2 linked regions of the Coturnix japonica genome follow. Each later gene encodes a partner of the first gene's protein in a complex. Links are inferred from orthologs where the notes say so. Each region holds a gene or a part of one and is shown in the gene's direction. Other genes may lie near its edges.

Region 1 (5,620 bases):
CATTACAGCTGTAGCATCAAGTGCTACCTAATAAAAGCACAGGGATAAAGTAGGGGGATGGTACAAGAATCAGTGAAAACAACACGTAACAGCAGAACCCTTCAAACCTGTCATGGTTTTTTTATGCAGCTTTCAGCTTAAACCAATAACACTCTTGCAGGTGGAACACCAGCACCGTGTCATTAGTATGATATTAGGTATGGTATTATTACTATCTCATATAGTATTAGGAATGGCTAAGGGCTTTTTGCAGTGTTTTTAAGGTCATGATTGGAGTTATGTACAACCAATACAACATTAAGCACTTGTATCTTTTATGTACACATAAAATACCCTTTCCAGGCTGTTATTTAAGTGTGCCACTGACCGAAGCACTGCGAGTACAGCTCCCTTCTCACAGGACAGATGCCGGTCTCCCTCGCCTGCCGCTGTTGCAGCTTCAGATCCAGCTGCTCCTGCAGCTGCACGACGTCCAGCCGGGTGCTGGGAACACTGGACACCTCCTGCACCCACAGCCGGTTATCCTCCTCCCATGACCTGCACCGGAAAGCAGCAGCGATGGAGCTCGGCGGGGCGGTCCTGAGTTAAGGCTCTTGTTGTTCCCCCCTCCCCGGCTCACCGCGGCGGTAGGATGGCGTTCAGGATCTCCTGAGGTTCCTTCGTGGAGGCGGCGGAGGCGGCAGCAGTGCGAGGTCGGGACGGAGGGACAGGGCCTGATGGCGGGGAGGCCTGTGGGGTTCCCTTCAACGGTGAGGCCTGAAGGGAGAAAGCGGTGTGAGCAGGATGGGTGAGGTGTGAGGGCTCCCCCCGTCCCATTCAGAATCACAGAAACACAGAATTATCAAGGTTGGAAAAGACTTCACTAGGAGAGTGGTGAGGCCCTGGAACAGGCTGCCCAGGGAGGTTGTGGATGCCCCGTCCTTGGAGGTGTACAAGGCCAGGTTGGACGGGGCCATGGGCAACCTGATCTATGGGGTCTCTATGGGGATCTATGGGGTCTCTATGGGGGTCTATGGGGTCTCTATGAGGATCTATGGGGTCTCTATGGGGATCTATGGGGATCTATGGGGGATCTATGGGGTCTCTATGGGGTCTCCTGGGCAACCTGATCTAGTAAATGTGTATGTTTGGTGGCCCTGCTTGGCAGGGGGGTTGGAACTACATGATCCTTGAGGTCCCTTCCAACCCGGGTCATTCTGTGACCTAGAAGATCATCTAGTCCAACCATTCCCAATACTTCCCAGCTAAATCATATTCATCAACACAACATCCAGATGTTTCTTGAACACTCCCATGGTCAGTGACTCCACCACCTCTTTGGGCAGTGCATTATAATGCCTGACTACCCTTCCTGAGAAGCAATACTTCCTAATATCCAGCGTGACTCTCCCCTGACACAGCTTAAAACCATTCCCTCTACTTCTATCATGGATTAGAGGCTCACTACAACCTCCCTTCTAACTTCTAACTAAGGGAGTTATAGAGGGCTATAAGGTCTCCCCTGAGCCTCTTCTTCAGGCTGAACAACCCCATCTCCCTCAGCTTCTTCTTATAAGTCCCCATTATGCTCCAGACCCCTCACCAGCTTCATAACCCTTTTCTGAATGTATTCTCAATGTCTTTCTTGCAGTGAGGTGCCCAAAACTGAACACAGGGGGACAATTACCTCCCTGTTGCTGCTAGTAACACTGGTTTTGATACAATATAGGATTCCTTTGGCCTTCATGGGCCATAATATCGGTTCATATTCACTCACCTCTGGTGATCGCTTCTCAGTACGGCGACTCACCAGCATGGGCGGGTTATAACGCAGCAGCGAATCGGGCGGTGGGATCATGGCGGCTCCTCGGTCGCTATGGTTATAAACGCCGCTCCGTTGTTTGTTCTAAAGGCGCATGAGCGTTAGGTAAAGATGTAGTTCCGGGTGGTTGAGAGAGAGGTAACACGGATGTGAAAACGTAATTCCGGTTGTGGGGGGAGTCGGTAGCAAGATGGAGGCTGAGAGTGAGAGGAGGAGGAGGGAGAGAAGGAGGGGGGAGATGGCGGTGAAGGCCGAGAAGCGCAGCCCACGGAGCTGCGGGTCCCGTTCGGCTTATGGGAGCCAATCCCCCCCCATTGAGGAGCGACGGGGCAGGAGCAGCAGGTAGGAGGCCTCATAGGGCCTTATTACGGCCCTGTATCGTAACCCTGAGGTTCTGTGCATTTCTTGTGTACTTGATTTAAAGGTCGCCTAAAAGGAAGAGTAAATCCGGCCGGAGGAGCAAATCACCGCGGGGGAGGAGGAGCAGGAGTCCGCACCATGGAGGTGTGAGGGTAAAGCAGGTAAATGGCGTTGGGAGAGGCCAGGCCCCACAGATCCCCATAGAGACCCCACAGATCCCCACAGAGATCCCATAGACACCCCATAGAGCCCCATAGAGACCCACTGAACCCCATACAGACCCCATGCAGACCCCATAGAGCCCCACAGACAACCCATAGATCCCCAAAGACACCCCATAGATCATGTTGCCCATGGCCCCGTCCAACCTGGCCTTGAACACCTCCAAGGACGGGGCATCCACAACCTCCCTGTGCAGCCTGTTTCAGGGCCTAACCACTCTCCTAGTGAAGAACTTCCCCCTAACATCCAACCCAAATCTTCCCTCTTTTAACTTAAAACCATTTCCCCGTGTCCTGCTATTGTCAGCCCTTTCCAAGAGTTTACTCCCCTCCTGGGAGTAAGTTCCCTTCAGGTATTGAAAGGCTGCAATGAGGTCACCCCGCAACCTTCTCTTCTCTAGGCTGAACAAACCCAACTCCCTCAGCCTGTCCTCATAGGGGAGGTGCTCCAGCCCCCTGATCCCTCTAGAATAACTCTTAAGGAAGAGAGAGTCTTACAGTGTAACATCTCCTTGCTCTCTGCTTCGTGTTTTCCTGGAAAGAACTGAGTGTTTGTACCTTTTAGTGAGCCCAGCCCCTGTTATTCCTGTAAGAAAATGAGTATTTGTGCCTTTAAGTGAGCCCAGCCTGCAGGCTGACCCTGAAGGCTGATGTTATGATGCATTGCTCTCTGTCAGCCTTGCATTGTTGGGCCCAAGTTGTGGGAATTCACTTTGGAAGGAAATAAATAAATCTAGATATACACGTACCATGTTACAGTCTGTGTTTTTCATGTGTTTTCTGTCTTCTTCCTCAGGAACGAGACGATCATCCTCACAGAGGAAATGAAGAGAGAAAGCAGAGACACACGTCAGAGCAAGAACACAGACGAGATAGAAGCGGTGACAGAGACAGGCACAGAGATCACTCAGACAGGAGGAAAAAGGAGGAAAGACCTGGAGGTCGAGGCCATGAGAGAGAAAGAGATGTTCAGAACATCCGTGAGCAACAAGCAGAGAGGGAGTTCTATAACGAAAGAAGACGAGAGCATCGACAGAACAACGAGGGGAGCGGTGCTGAGCAGAATCCAGAACACAAACAATCTGATAACAAACCAAAAGATAAAGCTGTAAACAAAGAAAAACCAAGCTTTGAACTGTCTGGTGCCCTTCTGGAGGATACCAACACTTTCCGAGGCGTTGTGATTAAATACAGTGAGCCCCCAGAAGCTCGGATTCCAAAGAAACGATGGCGTCTCTATCCATTTAAAAACGATGAGTTCCTGCCTGTCATGTACATTCATAGGCAGAGTGCTTATCTCCTGGGCAGGCACCGCAGGATAGCAGATATCCCCATTGATCATCCCTCCTGCTCAAAGCAACACGCTGTGTTCCAATACCGGTCAGTATCGCTCTGTATCCCTCTGGTAGGTGGGGATTATTTGGTCGCTTGCGTGCAAAGGGAATCAAAGAACGTATTGGATGTGCACAGATTAGAAAATGCATGTTTGCTCAATGGTTTTAGATAGGTGGAATTTAGGTATGGATGTAACATATATGTAATTCCTTTTTGTTTAACCATAAGCAGCCTCGTGACTCTTAACATATATATAATTCCTTTTGGTTTAACCATATCTAGACTTTTAGTAAGAAACACAACACAACAGGATGAAATACAGAACTGCCTGTATATCTGAATTGGAGTTATTAGCAGGTGGGATTGGCAATAAAGAACGTTTAAAGGAGGGTTTTTCATTTGTTCCTTCCCAACAAAGGCTGCCGATCTCCTTTATAAACAGCAGGGTTGTGTGCTTCAGGAGGCAGAGCTGCTCTCTTAAGGAACAACCATCTGTTCTGCTTCAGGATTTACTATGTTATATGATCATAACTTTAAGGGGTGAAGCAGTCTGTCAGAATCTTGAGTATTTCCGTGCCCTGTCTAATTATTCTCATTGTACTTGCTCAGATCTTTGAAGTATGGTTAAGTATTTACAACAGTGGGGCTGATGTGTTGAAAAATCCATGTGTTATCATTGACTTGATGGGTTGTTTTTGTTTTCTAGGCTTGTGGAGCACACACGCGCTGATGGCACAGTTGGCCGCAGGGTAAAGCCGTATATCATTGATCTTGGTTCTGGCAATGGTACTTTTCTAAACAACCAGAGGATTGAGCCTCAACGTTACTACGAACTGAAAGAAAAGGATGTATTGAAGTTTGGCTTCAGCAGCAGGGAGTACGTCCTTCTCCATGAATCATCTGATAAATCAGAGGCCAACGCAAAGGACGATGATGAGGAAGAGGAGAAGGAGGAAGAGTCCGATAGTTAACAGACATGAAGGCAATTGGGGATGGGGGAGCAGGGGAGAGGAATCTTTTACAATAAAACATGCATTGGGATGGAGATGTTGGAGCATCAAAGCACTGGTGCTTCTTATTGCCTTAAAGTCCTTCTGTTGCTGACTGGTTCTTATGGTTTATTGTGGGGGACTCCACTGAATATTTGGCTTTGGTAGGTCTGTATAGTGGGAAATCTGACTTATTTCACCCCCCTGACAAGCAAAAGAGCAGCTGGATGTGAATGATCTGATGCTGGAAACATGTTCAAAGATGGTTTTCTGCTGGATAAAGAAACGATGTAGAACACAGCAAAGTGTATTTAAGAATATTTTTATCCACTGTTTTTTGTCATAAGCCTTTGAAAACGCTACTGAACTGAGGTGTTAGTTTCAAATGTAACCCCATGCATTGTTTGTAATGTCTTGTTTTGTAGAGTTTGCCAAATTCTAGAGTTCTAGAAGGGAGAATGACCAGGTTTGCTACTAAAAGAGGGATATTGCAAAGGTTTTATGTGTCCTGGGTGGTTGCTCTGCACTGTGAGCAATGGGCATTTGACCACAATGAGCTGCCTGTCGATTCCAAGGTAAGTGAGAAGAAAAGGAAACACAACCTGAGGCTTTTAGGTTGCAACGATGTGGTTTGGGAGGGCTGAGGTCCACATCAATGCACGCTATACATTGCAGCACCCAAACTATGGCTGACTGTCATGTATCTCCTAAACCTCAGCCCTTTGTTTCTATCAGCTCCATGAGTAACTTAATGTTTTTTGTTTGTAATTGTACTCGTTACGTGGTGGCATGTTTTTATTACCCGGTTTGCACTATTTAAGTTTTTCTTTATATATATATATATATATATAAAAAGAACTGAAGCTCTCGTTGCTTTCTAACATTCTCCCCCACAGGAAAAGCTTTAGGAAGAG
Region 2 (4,587 bases), on another chromosome or scaffold:
TTGACCGATGGCTGACCAACAGTTGACCATTGATTGCCCACAGGCTGACCATGAGCCAGCAGTGCATCCTGGTGGCCATGAAGACCAGTTGGACCCTGGGGTCCTTTAAAAAGAGCGTGGCCAGTAGGGTGAGGGAGGTGCTCCTGCTCTGCCCTGAGGCCGCATCTGCAGCACTGGGTCCAGCTGTGGCTGCTCAGCTCCAGGCAGGGAGCTGATGTAGGGACATAGAGATGGTGGAGGCCTGGAGGAGCATCCCCTGATGGGAGAAGGCTGAGAGCCCCGAGGGCTGTTCACCTGCAGAGGCTGAGAGGGGATCCAGTCAATGCTTATCACCATGGGGGAGCCCCAGAGGTCCCTTCCAACCCCTGTGGTTCTATCACTCTCCTGATCTATGCCCCTTTATCCCCTTGCAGGACCGCCTGAGCCGCTGCACGCTGCACTGCTCTGACAGAGCCAAGGATGCCCTGGAGGCGGGCGGTGGGGAGACAAGGGCACGCTCCCAGCTCGACGCCTGCGTTGCTGCCTGTGGGGACGAGCACCTACGCCTGGTGCCAGGCATGGCCAAGAGGATGCGGGATGGCTTGGCGGCCCTACAGCACTAGCGGGTGCTGTTGGGGTGGGGGAAGGTGGTATTAAAGGCAAGGAGCTGCACTCGTGGTGCTCGAGGGGTGCTGGGGGTTTGGGGTGTGGGGGTGCAAGGTGTGGGGTGGTGGCTGTGTAATGTATGGGGTGGGTGTGTGCAAAGTATGGGGTGATGGCTGTGCAGTGTATAGGGGGTGGGATGAGCCATGCAAATGTGCAGTGTATAGATAGGGTACAGGTGTGCAAAGTGTGGGGTGATGGCTGCGTAAGGTGTGTGCAGGTGTGCAAGGTGTGGGGTAGTGCTTCTGCAGGGTGTGGGGCACTGTGTGCAAAGGGTGCTGGTGTGTAAAGGGTGCAGTGTGCAAAGGGTGCAGTGTGCAAAGGGTGCAGTGTGCAAATGTTGCAGGGTGTGCAAAGGGTGCAGGTGTGCAAAGGGTGCAGGTGTGCAAAGGTGCAGTGTGCAAAGGGTGCAGGTGTGCAAAGGGTGCAGGTGTGCAAATGGTGCAGGGTGTGCAAAGGGTGCAGGGTGTGCAAAGGGTGCAGGGTGTGCAAAGGTGCAGTGTGCAAAGGTGCAGTGTGCAAAGGGTGCAGTGTGCAAATGGTGCAGGGTGTGCAAATGGTGCAGGGTGTGCAAAGGGTGCAGGGTGTGCAAAGGGTGCAGTGTGCAAAGGGTGCACACTGCCAGCTGTGAGCCGATGGCTGTGCAAGGTGTGCACGGTGAGCCGTGCAGGGCTTGCAATACGTGTATCAGTGCCTTTGTGTGTGTGCAATGCCGTGCATACAGTGGGTGTGCAATGCGCGGTGCATGCAATGCAGCAGAGCTGCAGGTCTCCATGCACGTGCTGCATGGGGGCCGCTCCAAACGCGCACGCGCGCCGCGTCCGAGCGCTCTGATTGGCTGCCGGCGAGATGCGAAGGTTGGCGGGAAAAGGGGGCGGGGCTTTGGGCGTAGCGTGCGACGTGATGACGTCATTACGCGGCGCGAGCGGCAGCGGCGCTGAGGAGACGCCATGAGCAAAGCGCACCCACCCGAGCTGAAGAAGTGAGAGCTGGGCCAACATGGGGATGAGGGGGGATGAGGGGGGATAAGGGAGGACTGAAGGGGATGAGGGGGGCCCAGAGGGTCGGGAGGGGCCGTGGGGTCCGGTTCGGGTTCGGTCTGGGTCCGGTTGGGCCCGCAATGATGGCGGTCCCGACCCCACACTGATGCGGCCTGCTCTGTTTGCGCTCTCGTTGCAGGTTCATGGACAAGAAGCTGTCGTGTGAGTCCCGCTGTTATAACGGGGTTGTGCCATGAGCCCACATTCACAAAGCCCCCCCCCCCCCCCCATCCCTCCCTTCCCTTTTAACCCCCCCCTCCCCTTGTTTCTGAATGAGCCGGTTTCTCGTAGTGAAGTTAAATGGCGGCCGCCACGTGCAGGGGATCCTACGGGGCTTCGACCCCTTCATGAACCTGGTGATCGATGAGTGCGTGGAGATGGCGCCTGGAGGGCAGCAGAACAACATCGGGATGGTGGTGAGTGCTGGGGGGGATGGCAGCCCCCAGGCCCACTTTGTGCCTTGGGCTGGGGGCTTTGGGCTTTGGGCTTTGGGCTGGGGGCTTCCTTTCAGTTCAGGCCTCCCAGTGCCCATCCGTGGCCTTGGGCACCTCTAGGAATGGGGAACAGCCTCAGGAGGGCAGAGCAGGATGGGACAGAGCCCTCCGTGTCTGCTGCAGTAACAGAGGGGTGGCAGCCCAGCTGGCTGTGAGGTCACAAGAATACATTGCTGTCTTATATCAAGCTCTCATCCACCTTTTCTATCAACCACCCTCCTGCAGGAGCCTTTTCCAGCCGGCTGACTGCTGCCATGAGCCCCTGCAGTTCTCTCATTCACTTCAGCTCTTGGAGCTGCACATGCCATGCAGCTTTCTAGGAGGAAAAGTCAAAGGGAAAGAAAACCTTCTGTGCTGTGGGCATAACGTGCTTCATCTCACCTCCTGCTGACAACTTCTCTTTGTAGGTAATACGAGGAAACAGCATCATTATGCTGGAAGCTTTGGAACGAGTATAGTGGCAGAGGAACCCTGTAGTGACCCGACCCCGTTGTGTTTTGTTTACTCACCTGAACCTAATGAAGCAACCACAAGTGTAAGCTTATTTTTTGTTAAATAAATTTTGTACTGGTTGGTGTAACCCGTGTGAGCTGTGCTTGGTGGAACTGAAGCCTGGGGCAGTTAATCTTGTGAGTGCAGCAGTGTGTCAGTGGCAGCTTTAAAGCTGGAGGATGGCTTTCAGGCAGCTTTATTTCTTTGAGTGGGTGTTCAAATGATACTGGCTATATCTTTAAACCCCCCCCCATAAATAACAGGCTGTGGCACTTCTATTCCTAGCATTGCTCTGTAAAGAGTGAAGGGGACTGAAATATCTGTCCTGCTCAAGTGTTTGCCTGCAACTTTGTGCTGGTCTCCACCTCTGTGCTGAGGCAAAAGTGGTTTTGGTTATTCTCATTGCCCCCAAGCAGACAGAACAAAGCATTGACCCCAGGGTACCAGCAAGCTTCTAAGAGTTGAATCGTGTTCCAGCACGTACGGACTCCTGTGATGCTGCTAATCTCAGTGCAAGTCCTGCAATTTAGCTTTAATCAAGTGCATTCATCTTTTCTAGCACAGCAAGAGTGAGGCTACACTAGTGGAGGCTTGTTAGTGGGAGTTTGAGCTAAGCAAGCACAACTTGCTGGTACAGGAGAACTCTGCTGATGGAGAACCGAGCAGCAGCTCTGAGACACAGCACAATGCAGGTAACACAGACAACAGTTCAAGGCAGCACCTGCTTACATTCAAACCAGTGTGTTGCTTTTATTTGTAATGGCAACATGGTATTTACTACGTAGTTAAGACATGAGTGAGGTTCAGCAGCAAGTAGATGATCGCCATTTCCCTTCACCAGTCCCACCCCAAGGGGATGGGGTACAATCCTTGATACACCCCTTCAAAAAGCAGAAGCAGAGAGATTTAATGCTAACAAGCTGACTTATTCAACAGAGAGATGTCCAGAAAGGGAAAGCAACATGCGCAGGTCTAAGGGATCAGTGCTCAGTTAATCACAGTGATGCAGATCCTGGGCTTGGTAGGATCTGAAGGACACTTAAGGGTCAATATGGCATTTAAAGTACCTTGGTTATCTTACAGAGGGACAGATTGAAGGCTTTGCTTGAGGGAGGGCCGGCTCACATGAGGAAATGCCCCCCCACTTTTGACAGCAGTTCAAGTGAATTCATGCCTGGAGCTGGCTGGATGCTTCCTCCTTCTTCGAGGCTAAGTGAGAAGTGAGTTAGAATAAAATCACAGCATCCAAGCAGCTCCTTCGTTCCTTTTAGTTGCAACTACACATCTTCAACACACGGGCTTTATCTCTGGGAGCCGCGGTGGTGCACAGCTCAAAGCTCTGTTTTCAGTTTCTCATACAAGTCTTCCTGGTCGATCTTGTCTGTGTTGCCGTACCAGCGGTGGTAGGCGAGCAGCGCGGCGTTTTTGGCTGCGATGGAGCTCATCTCCATAGCACTGGCAGCCCACTCGATGCCATTCAGGTAGTAGATGTTGTCATGGAGGATGATAGGTGGGAATTTGTTCGGGGGGCTGTAGTGGGGGTACGCCAGCCACTTCTTCACCTTGACAGAGTCGTAGGAGGAGAAAAGCAAATTCAGCTGCTCTTTTGTGAGCTCTTCCTTTGAGAAGATCTTCCAGACTGCTAACTGCAAGGGAAGCTTTTCTTGGCTGCCTCTGTTCTCCACAGGAGACACGATCCCCACGCTGTTGATAAACAGCTTGGGATTCTCTGTAGTGAAAATGGCACCCAGATGAAAGGCGGATGGATCCTGGTAACCAAAGTAGGAGGCGTTTAAGCGGCCGTGCACAAACGTTGCCACAGTTTGTTGGTAAGGATTGGAGAACTCCGGGACTGGAGGGCTGAAGTTCTTGAAGGTGATGTTGGCTATTTTGCGGTTCAGCGGAGCAGCAATGACAAC

What was found.
Region 2: SNIP1 (region 1) and SNRPG share a complex: the UniProt entries of both Homo sapiens proteins name them as parts of the minor spliceosome. The link is inferred for Coturnix japonica from reciprocal best matches to the Homo sapiens genes SNIP1 and SNRPG.

Annotation. Positions count from the first base shown.
Region 1 is NC_029538.1:3,337,851-3,343,470, forward strand, and holds the start of SNIP1 (smad nuclear-interacting protein 1), read left to right. Parts: upstream 1-1,967; 5' UTR 1,968-1,991; coding exon 1,992-2,143; intron 2,144-2,225; coding exon 2,226-2,322; intron 2,323-3,178; coding exon 3,179-3,762; intron 3,763-4,423; coding exon 4,424-4,688; 3' UTR 4,689-5,620. Other genes in the region: DNALI1 (axonemal dynein light intermediate polypeptide 1), read right to left, coding at 368-537, 620-756, 1,757-1,837. UniProt on the Homo sapiens protein: Required for pre-mRNA splicing as component of the spliceosome. As a component of the minor spliceosome, involved in the splicing of U12-type introns in pre-mRNAs. Down-regulates NF-kappa-B signaling by competing with RELA for CREBBP/EP300 binding.
Region 2 is NC_029537.1:791,318-795,904, forward strand, and holds SNRPG (small nuclear ribonucleoprotein G), read left to right. Parts: upstream 1-1,505; 5' UTR 1,506-1,592; coding exon 1,593-1,624; intron 1,625-1,821; coding exon 1,822-1,844; intron 1,845-1,973; coding exon 1,974-2,098; intron 2,099-2,583; coding exon 2,584-2,634; 3' UTR 2,635-2,756; downstream 2,757-4,587. Other genes in the region: protein FAM136A, read left to right, coding at 414-602. UniProt on the Homo sapiens protein: Plays a role in pre-mRNA splicing as a core component of the spliceosomal U1, U2, U4 and U5 small nuclear ribonucleoproteins (snRNPs), the building blocks of the spliceosome.